Linked DNA regions of Neurospora crassa OR74A. The protein of the gene in region 1 interacts with the protein of each later gene in a biochemical or structural test. Links are inferred from orthologs where the notes say so. Each region holds a gene or a part of one and is shown on either strand. Other genes may lie near its edges. The genes, in order: nrc-1 and NCU08067.

Region 1 (4,263 bases):
AAAAAAAAAAAAAAAAAAAAGACTTGGGGTCCATTCGCATGAAGCCTTATTGTCCCTGGGGTCGCTCAGACTTCTCGATAAAGGAAACCCTGGGACGGAGGGTTACGCGACAGCATCAAGGAAATGAATGGGGGCTTTTCGGCGGTATACTAACATGTTGCCCCGTGCTGTTCAGTCGCATCTTTCCACCGCCCCTTCCCGCCCATAGTGTGTGTAGTTCCAGCAGAATTAGATTGTGGCCTGCAAAAAGCGAGATACGGGTCGATAATCGACGCCGTGGCTGGAACGAAGACGCAACAAAGAAAAGGACTCAAAGCTTCCATGCAGACCAGTGTGCTGAGTTTGGTGGTGGCAATGGAACGTTAAGTTGGGTTGGGGCGGTTATCTGCGTGCGAAGGCGTGGAGGTTGCCCAGACATGCTGCCGGAACCACGGCTCTCTTGAATATGCCTAACTACATACACTATCACCTATCCACATGGCTAGGTGACGTTTCAGGCCGATTTTTCGGTCCCTAGTGCCGATCTTCCACTTTGCTGTTCACTTCTTGTCGTTGTTGTCGTTGTCGTTGTTGCCGGGTGTTGTTTGACTTTTATTTGCGCCTCTTCATGCCGGTCCCGATGCACCAACAACAGACAAGAACAGTCTCTTGAGTTGGGGAACGATGGCTCGACGAATTGTTGGCCTGGTATCTACACTACCACTATCCACGGCGTTGTGACACTTGGGGCGCAGAAGTTGGATGCCATCATTTCCAAATACGACATCGTCTTTTTCGGTTCCCGAGCGATGTGAGAGGTGGAGCCAAAGAAGCGTTGTTTCAAGGGGCGCCTGCAATGATTAGCGGCTTGGCGGCTTGGCGGCGGATGATTCTGCAGGCTGTCCAATCCGCCGCTAGCGTTAGAGCCCCCGCCTTCTCTTTACAGACACTTGCACAAGTCTTGCAGGGTAAGTAGTCGCAGTCCCGTCCAGGCCGCATTCAACGCATTCAACGCCGCGGTTTCCTCTCTTCAGCAGCCCGCTAGAGAGGGAAGGTGCAGCAAAAGACGCTATCGTCCCAATCCAGGCCCAGGGCAGTCAGGCCCCCGGCTGTCCCTGCCCCCGCGGCGGCCACTTCCATCGTGACAACAACCTACACAAGTGGAAAGAGCGACTCCATGCCCACTGAAGCGAGCTCCTCCTCCGTCCTCCATCTTCCTTCTCCATTTGTCGAGTTGTCGGGCTAACTTTTTCTTCGTCTCTCTTTCCATTCGCTCCGCAGTCGGCATTGAGGGGTTTTTCTTGCCGTGGTCTCTTCGTTGTGCGTAAAGAATTTGCGCACTTTGCGTGTTGTCTCTCTCTCTCCTCCAGCAGCGCTCACATTCCACCCCGGACAAGTCAACCAAATTTTGGATCATCGCGGGCAGCGCACAGGGCACCGCTGCAGATAGTACACAGCAGGCATTGCACAGGCTTCCCAAGCCGGGCACCTTCAACTAGGTACACTACTTACTAGTTCTACTTGCATTGACATCCATCACTACTTCACTACATATTATTTCGGCTGGGTGCTTTGATGTCCATTCTCTTGTTGTGTGCGAGTTTCAAGAGACAATAAAGAGGGTTGCTATCATTGTCGCAGACAGCCCGTTGCGCGCTTCCAGGTCCCCTCCCCTCCGCTTCCCTCCCTCCCCCAAGGAGAGACAGTGTTAGGTAGCGGGCCGGGCGGCTTTGTGGTTAGTACCGTTAGTCTCCTCGTTGGCTGTCAGTGTCACGAATAAGGAGATTCCAACAACACACCTCTAACCAAGGGCCCCTTGCTCCCTCTCCACGTCGTCTTTCTTGCCGAGCCTGCTTCATATCCAAGCGTGTGACCACCAACACACGTTCACCACGCACCAGCTCCAGGCATTACCGCACCTTGTTGAGCTTGTTGGGCCCGACGCCAGACAATTCTTTCGGTCGCTTCATCCACTTCCACATATACCGGACGACGGGCAAGCCACTGATTGCCGGACAGCGGTCAGCCCATCTTTGCCTTGGCTTTTTGGATTAGCATCGGCAGTCTGTGCGCCTACATATTCACCATCGCCGTTCCCTGCAGAAAGCAGCAGTAGCAGCAACAACCGCCGCCTTTGCTTCTGCTTCTGCTTCTGCTTCCATCGATCCCCCCTCCCCCCCAACCGCTCTGCACGCGCAAAACATTCGACGTCGTCTCGCCACCACCAGAAAATACACCTAACAGCCCATGTCATCATTACTTCCAAGCTGACCGTCGCTTCAACCATGGCCATGCTGGCATCCAAGTCGCCCTATACGCCTTCGCTGGGTTCCCAGTCGTCCACCATGATGGCGAGCACACCACAAACCGCCTACAATCCTTCGCGAAGAGCGCCTGCAGTCTCTCATGCGACCAACCAGAACTATGCGAGTCCTACCGAATCCGAATTTTCCGAACTTGACGGGCCCGAATCGGTCAAGAACTGGAACGAGGACAGGGTGTGCGAATATCTCAGGAGCGTAAAATGCGGCGACTACGAAAGGATATTCCGCAAAAATAACATAAATGGCGAGGCGCTTTTGGAGATTGACAAGGAGGTCCTCAAAGAGATGGGAATCGAAAAGGTTGGAGATCGCGTCCGCTTGTTTCTGAGCATCAAGAAACTCCGGACACAGACCTATGCGAACCAGAGAAAGAGAGACAGGGTCAGTTTGGCTATTCAGGTGTCCGGGCTTGCCACTTTGACTTGGCTTAACGGCTAATGCTTCTCTAGGAATCCTTTGCTGTACTTGATAACCAGTATTCAGCGACTTCTTTACGAGTGCCCATCACAAATCGGTCAGCGGCAACGTCCGCTCCTCGGCGCTATGACCGCCAGTACGAACTCACCCCCAATGCCGACATGTCGAAACCTTCCTCGCGGCCGACCTCGCCGCTACCTAGTTCTGACTACAACAGACAAGCCCGGCGAGGCTATGTGCAACAACAGGGCTATGGCAATCAACCTACACAAGCTGCTCCCTCGCGGTTCCCCATGTCTCCTCCTGAGTCCCACCCCGGCCGATTGGTACAAGCCCACACTAGGAACAACTCCAGCATGGATGGTTCGCTGATGGCTGCGCTGCCACAGGGTCAGGATGTCATTCGCGTCATCTCCACAGGTGGCGTAACCAAGGTTGTTAAGATTGCCGACTGCAACACCTGTGAAGAGGTTATGCGTGTTACCCTACGTAAGTTTGGCCTGCGGGAGGACCATGAAAGGAATTACTGTTTCTGGGTACTGGCCGGCGTTGATCCGGACCCAAACCAATGCCGCCGCCTCGGGGATACGGAGCTGTGGAGAGTCATCAAGGACCACACTCGCCCAGAGCGCAACCGCCTGATTCTCAGGCGTGTTCCTTCTGGAGAGCCGGGCAAGGCAGAACTCGAAAGAGCAGCTGCCATTGCGATGGAGGAAGCACAGCAAACACATAGGCCTCCAATTGAGCCCAGCGATAAGCGGAGTCAGCTGAAGCTGCAAAAGGTGCTGGGAGTGGGCTGGGAAGACCTCCAACAACAGCCTCCGCTGTCTCCCATGTCCTATCAGGACCGAGAAAGAAACGTCTCAAACGCTGCTAGGGATCTAGAGCGGCCAGCACCTCTGGAAACCCCCAGGGCCATGCCTCGCCGTACACAAGCACTTCGTCAGTTCGGTGGGCTGAGACCGCCTAGCGAGCTTATCGCCTCGGATCTTACGAGCTACTTTCCAGATCACTCTCGTGAAGCTATTGACAGGACGGCCCGTTTGTCCATGAGACGCTCGGCACGTCTGAGTAGAGTGAACCATCGTCTGAGTGTTGCCAGCACCCTTAGCTTTGCCTCTAGCATACAAGACGCTCCGCCGATCCCTACCATCGCAGACAGCTGGTTGACCGCTTCCAACCAGATTGCCAAGGTACGCCCGCGTGATGTGCTGCCAAGGGCGCCTCACGGGTATAGAGATTCTGTGGCTTCATCCGTGCTTGATACGCTACAAGAAGAAGGCTCCCCAACCGAGCCTAACCGGAGATCATTCGTTCCATTTTCGGACAGCGGCTCGGATACAGCTGCAGTTAGCGTCATTGATCCCGATGGTAACATAGTCAGACACAGTTACTACGACAGCGGCACCAACAACTCGGCCGATTCCGCGGTAATACAGGAAGCACTTGCTGAAGATGGCGAGGATGCAGCTGACAAGGAGCTTCAAACTTTTCTGGCGGGCGACGCTTGGGACGACAGTATGTGGATGAAGGGTTCTCTTAT
Region 2 (4,308 bases), on another chromosome or scaffold:
CTCGGTACATTATCGATATCATGATCAAGCGGACTGTGTCTTCATTCTCTACAGGTAGGTAGTTCCAACATCCCCAACTCCGGCCGCTGGATGTTCAATTGCTGCTTGTGGGTACATCTCCTTTTGGGTTCACAGCCTCCATCCGTCCGTCCATCTTCTCTCCGTTCCTCGCCATGCATGAAATTCGTAAAAACAGCACCCATTTCCATCTTCCCCCGCTTTTTTGTCCTGTTCCCTCTTCCATTGCCATTCTCCAGTAGCGGCCTATCCTCTGCCGTAGCTGCCGAACGCAAAATAGAAGACATGTAAAGTTGATACAAGAACTAGTGTAACACGAGAAAGGAAAGACATTGAGAAAAAGGGTAAGAGAAGATAGAAAAATGACATTGCAAGAAAAAAGGGAAAAAAAACTCCATTTCCACCCAAACCTTGCCCCGTCCGCATCCAACATCCGGTTTCGCCTTCGTTTCCAAACGAGCCACGGTTTTTGGTGTGTCGCATTACGAGTCCCGTGGGTGGTCGAGAAGAAAGTGTAACGTTAATGTGGGTATAAAACGCCGACTCAAAAGAAAGATAGATAAAAGAAAAAAAACCACTTCATGATTTTGTTTTGTACTGGCGGTTCACACGCCAAATCCTCTCTTTTCAAAAAGACGAAGAAAAACCTCAACTCCATCCCCGACCCATTCAAGCCCGCTCATAGCAAAATCAAGTAATTGCTCGGCGCAATACCCGTTTCTCCATTCTCCTTCCGTGCCTGCCACCACCGCCCGCTCACGTCGCTAATCTCCAGCACCTCATGCTTGGAGAAACTAATCTCGTTGGCATCGTCCGGGTTGGCCTCATAGCTGAATATCGCCTTGGCCCTGTACGGGTACTCCGTCGGCGGAACGATCTCCCCTTCTCCTTGCGGCTTGGGGATGTTGTTGGACGAGAAACCCTGGGGAATCTGCGACTGGCGAGCGGGGTTTTCGAGCCCGTTGAGCTGACCCGTGTACATTTGCGGAGGCTGGAGGCCCGAGGCCGAGGTTTCAGGGCGCATGTTGTAGGAGCCGTAAGCATTGGGAGAGGAGAGACCGTTGTGGTTCATGGTTTGGCGGCTCATGTGATGCGCAGGGAGGGTGGATTCCTTGGTCAGCGCAAAGGAGTCGATGTAGGCACGGGGAACAGCCGATGGGGCGGAGCCAAAGTAGAATATCCAGATGATCTGGCGGGACGTTAGCAAATGGGGTCAGCCAGCTGGGGGAAGTTAGCGGGGAACCGCATACCGTCACCATGGACAACAAGATATACCCAGCCGCTGTCGCCTCCATGGACGCAACGCCACTGTAAATCAGGTTGTTGATCGACGACGTGGAGCCGACCAGCCCGACGGCCAGGTAGCCAACGATGGCGACATGGTAGGTCTGAGCGCTGTCCGAGGCGATGACGATGAAAATGCCGAGAATGAGGAAGAAGTTGAAGACGAGGGTGAACCAGCTGTAGGTTGGCCAAACAATGACGGGAGCCCCATTCGATCCGTCATTTTGGTCCCTAAAGCCAAAGATGGATCCAAACAGGATGATGATCCATGACAGCTGTGGTGATTGTCAGTTCGTGAAGGCGACAGGACGGGAAAAGGGTGGACGCCAGCGCGCGCGCGTATGGAAACTCACAGTAGCAATAGAAGTAGTGGCCAGAGCAAATGGGTCACCAATAATGTTGCCCATGTCTATGCCTTTTCGGCGGTACGAGTTCCTGCCGTGTTCCATTTTGGGGTTGTTGAAGGACGGGGGATAGTTAACCGATCCTCCGTACGATTGCATCAAGGGCGAAGGTCGCCAAGGAAGAGCGTCCTCTCGGGATATTCGAGGTCCGTGTTATAAGTGATGGACCGACGTGTGTGGGACACTTTAGTTGACGCACACCTTCACTTGGGGTATAAGATGACGGCGAGGGGCCGTGTGTGTGTCGTATTCCGGGGACCAGTCCGCGGTTGGTAATGCGATGTGTTTGTTCTGCAATGACAGATGCAATGTCACGAAAAAAAAAAGAGAGGAAGTTCGACGGCGACAAGTGGTCGAAGTCGAAGCAAGAAATTCGGGTCGGGTAGCAATTGTCGTTTGCTGCAAGACGTTGAGCGAGGAATTCGGTGTCCAGCAACGCGGTATGGCTCGTCTCGGTCGTTGCAAATATGGGTAGGTAGTAATTGGGCGATGTATGGAAATGAGTCGAAGGTAGGACAGTTGCAATGTTATTGAAAGATTGGGTGGTCGCTGTCGGGCTGCTCCGTCGGGTGTTTGTTGGTTGGCAATCCGCAAAGAGGAGGCTGAGTCCAAGGGAAGTGGCCGTCGGGTACTCCAAGGACACTCAAGACGAGGACAGAGCCTTTGAATCTTCAGGGGAAATAAGCAACGAGTCGGTCGCACGGGTCGGGAGATGTGACGGTACGGTAGTTGTCCGTTGGAACGAATGGCGGCGGCGGTACGGTATGGGTAGATACGGTAAACACGCAAGATCAATCGGTAGTTGGAAGAAGGGCGGTAGAAGAGTCCACTGGAAGTCTGGAAATGGTCCTGGATTCCTTTTTCCTGTTTTCTTTCTTCTTTTGTTTCCCTTTTTCTTTGTTTGTCCGGTGTATGACGGTAGTCGGGTGTGATATCTCGGTACCTGCCAACGTCGTATTGTACTATCCCCCCGTCTTGTTCCGGTTCGCGTTAATAAAGGGCTCAGCTCAGCTCAGGGTCGGACAATCGTATGCTGTCGTCGTCGTCGTCGTCGTCGTCGTCGTCGAGGTTGATGAGGTTGAGGGAACGAAGGGAGCGATTGATGGATTGAGCAAATTGTTGTTGGACGTGGCTGGGGCGATGATCAACGCCGGCCAATGGAGAAGTGAAAGGGAAGAAAAATTGAAGGAGGGAACGAACAGAAATGAGGGGATCGCACGGGCAGGACGGACGGACGGGGACGTGAAAAGGGAAATGGTGTGTGTGTGGGTGTGGGTGACGACGGCTGGGTGGTGGTGGGAGATCCGGAATGGAAGGCCAACGACGGGGCCTGGCTGAGGGACTCCGGGGCGGGCAGCAACCGGGGGGGGATGAGGTGGCTGCTGCTGTGGAAACGAGTGGACGAGACCGCGCAAGAGAAGTGAGGAAGGGACCAACAATGGAGCCCACTGAATCCACTGAAGATGGGGGGGAGCCATGTCCGCTGTGGAGGCTCTGGACTCCTGGAGTGCGTTGCCTGGCGGCTGCTCGCTGCACAATGAATGAATCCTTCCCTTGCAGTGACATAGGTACAATGTCCGGGCAACACGCGGCAACACTGCGAACGAGCCAATCGCATTATTGCATTTGCTGGGCTAATGAATGCAATGTCCAGTCAGAAGAGGCACGGTCCTCAATCTCACTGCAAATCGTTAGGCCAAGACATTCCAGGCGCTGCTTACCTACTGTACCTCTAGCGGCTGTGTGGGGACGGGAGCATGGAGCAAATTAGAGGTACACAGACACAGGGCGGGCTACTGTAGCAGCTCGATTTCTTTTTCTGCACTTTTTGACAGTCTTTGTAGCTGATGGTGGTGATTGATGGGGAGTCATACCTACCTAGAGGTAGACTCTGCTTGGGTGATTAACCTGTTCAAAGTGAATGATGGCTCTAGGGTACTGGGTCATGGCCAGGACATCTTTATTTTTATTCTTGTTTTCTTCTTCCATCTTGATATATCTTACCTCGACACTGTTCAAACTCATAGTCAAAAAGTCTCAAACATTCACAACATTGTAACACTCGGAAGTCAGTCAGGCAGCTAGCCATGTGGCTTGCGTCTGTGCTCCATTCACTCATTGCTAGGTCGTCCAGAAACATCGTGACCGACTGTAAATGATAGGCTGAGAGCTGGCTACCATGCGACATCACTCAGCTGAGCTCGGTGACGGGCAGAAAATGTCAACAGAGAGACGGATTCACCATGCCACGAATCCACACCCATGCAGCATGCAGGCAGGGGCTTTAGGCTCGCCGCGTGAGTTCTAGGGCAACGCCGTTCGTTTCGGAATCCCATCTGCAGGAGCCAAACAATCACTGCCGGCTATCAAGCGTGTTTGTGACGTTTGTAAAAAGCCTCTCCCGTGAATTCTCATTCCAGATAGAGCGCTACCACAGCACCGTCGATCTGGTTTTTGTCGGTGCTAACGGCGAGCAGAGTGTTGATATCGGCTGAACATTCCAGTGGGCCAAAGATGACGCCCGACTCCCGCGCATCTGTCGCGTGATATCTGCCGCGCAATGACATCTGCCCCATTCCCTTGGTCACTAGCATTGTTCTCG

Evidence for each region.
Region 2: the proteins of nrc-1 (region 1) and NCU08067 form a complex in vitro, tested with the Saccharomyces cerevisiae proteins (2 studies listed by BioGRID). The link is inferred for Neurospora crassa OR74A from reciprocal best matches to the Saccharomyces cerevisiae genes STE11 and SHO1.

The regions. Positions count from the first base shown.
Region 1 is NC_026503.1:1,802,937-1,807,199, forward strand, and holds the start of nrc-1 (MAPKK kinase), read left to right. Parts: upstream 1-1,254; 5' UTR 1,255-2,264; coding exon 2,265-2,684; intron 2,685-2,752; coding exon 2,753-4,263. UniProt on the Saccharomyces cerevisiae protein: Serine/threonine protein kinase required for cell-type-specific transcription and signal transduction in yeast. It is thought that it phosphorylates the STE7 protein kinase which itself, phosphorylates the FUS3 and or KSS1 kinases.
Region 2 is NC_026501.1:156,776-161,083, reverse strand, and holds the start of NCU08067 (osmosensor protein), read right to left. Parts: upstream 3,048-4,308; 5' UTR 1,806-3,047; coding exon 1,656-1,805; intron 1,578-1,655; coding exon 1,269-1,577; intron 1,208-1,268; coding exon 698-1,207; 3' UTR 1-697. UniProt on the Saccharomyces cerevisiae protein: Plasma membrane osmosensor that activates the high osmolarity glycerol (HOG) MAPK signaling pathway in response to high osmolarity.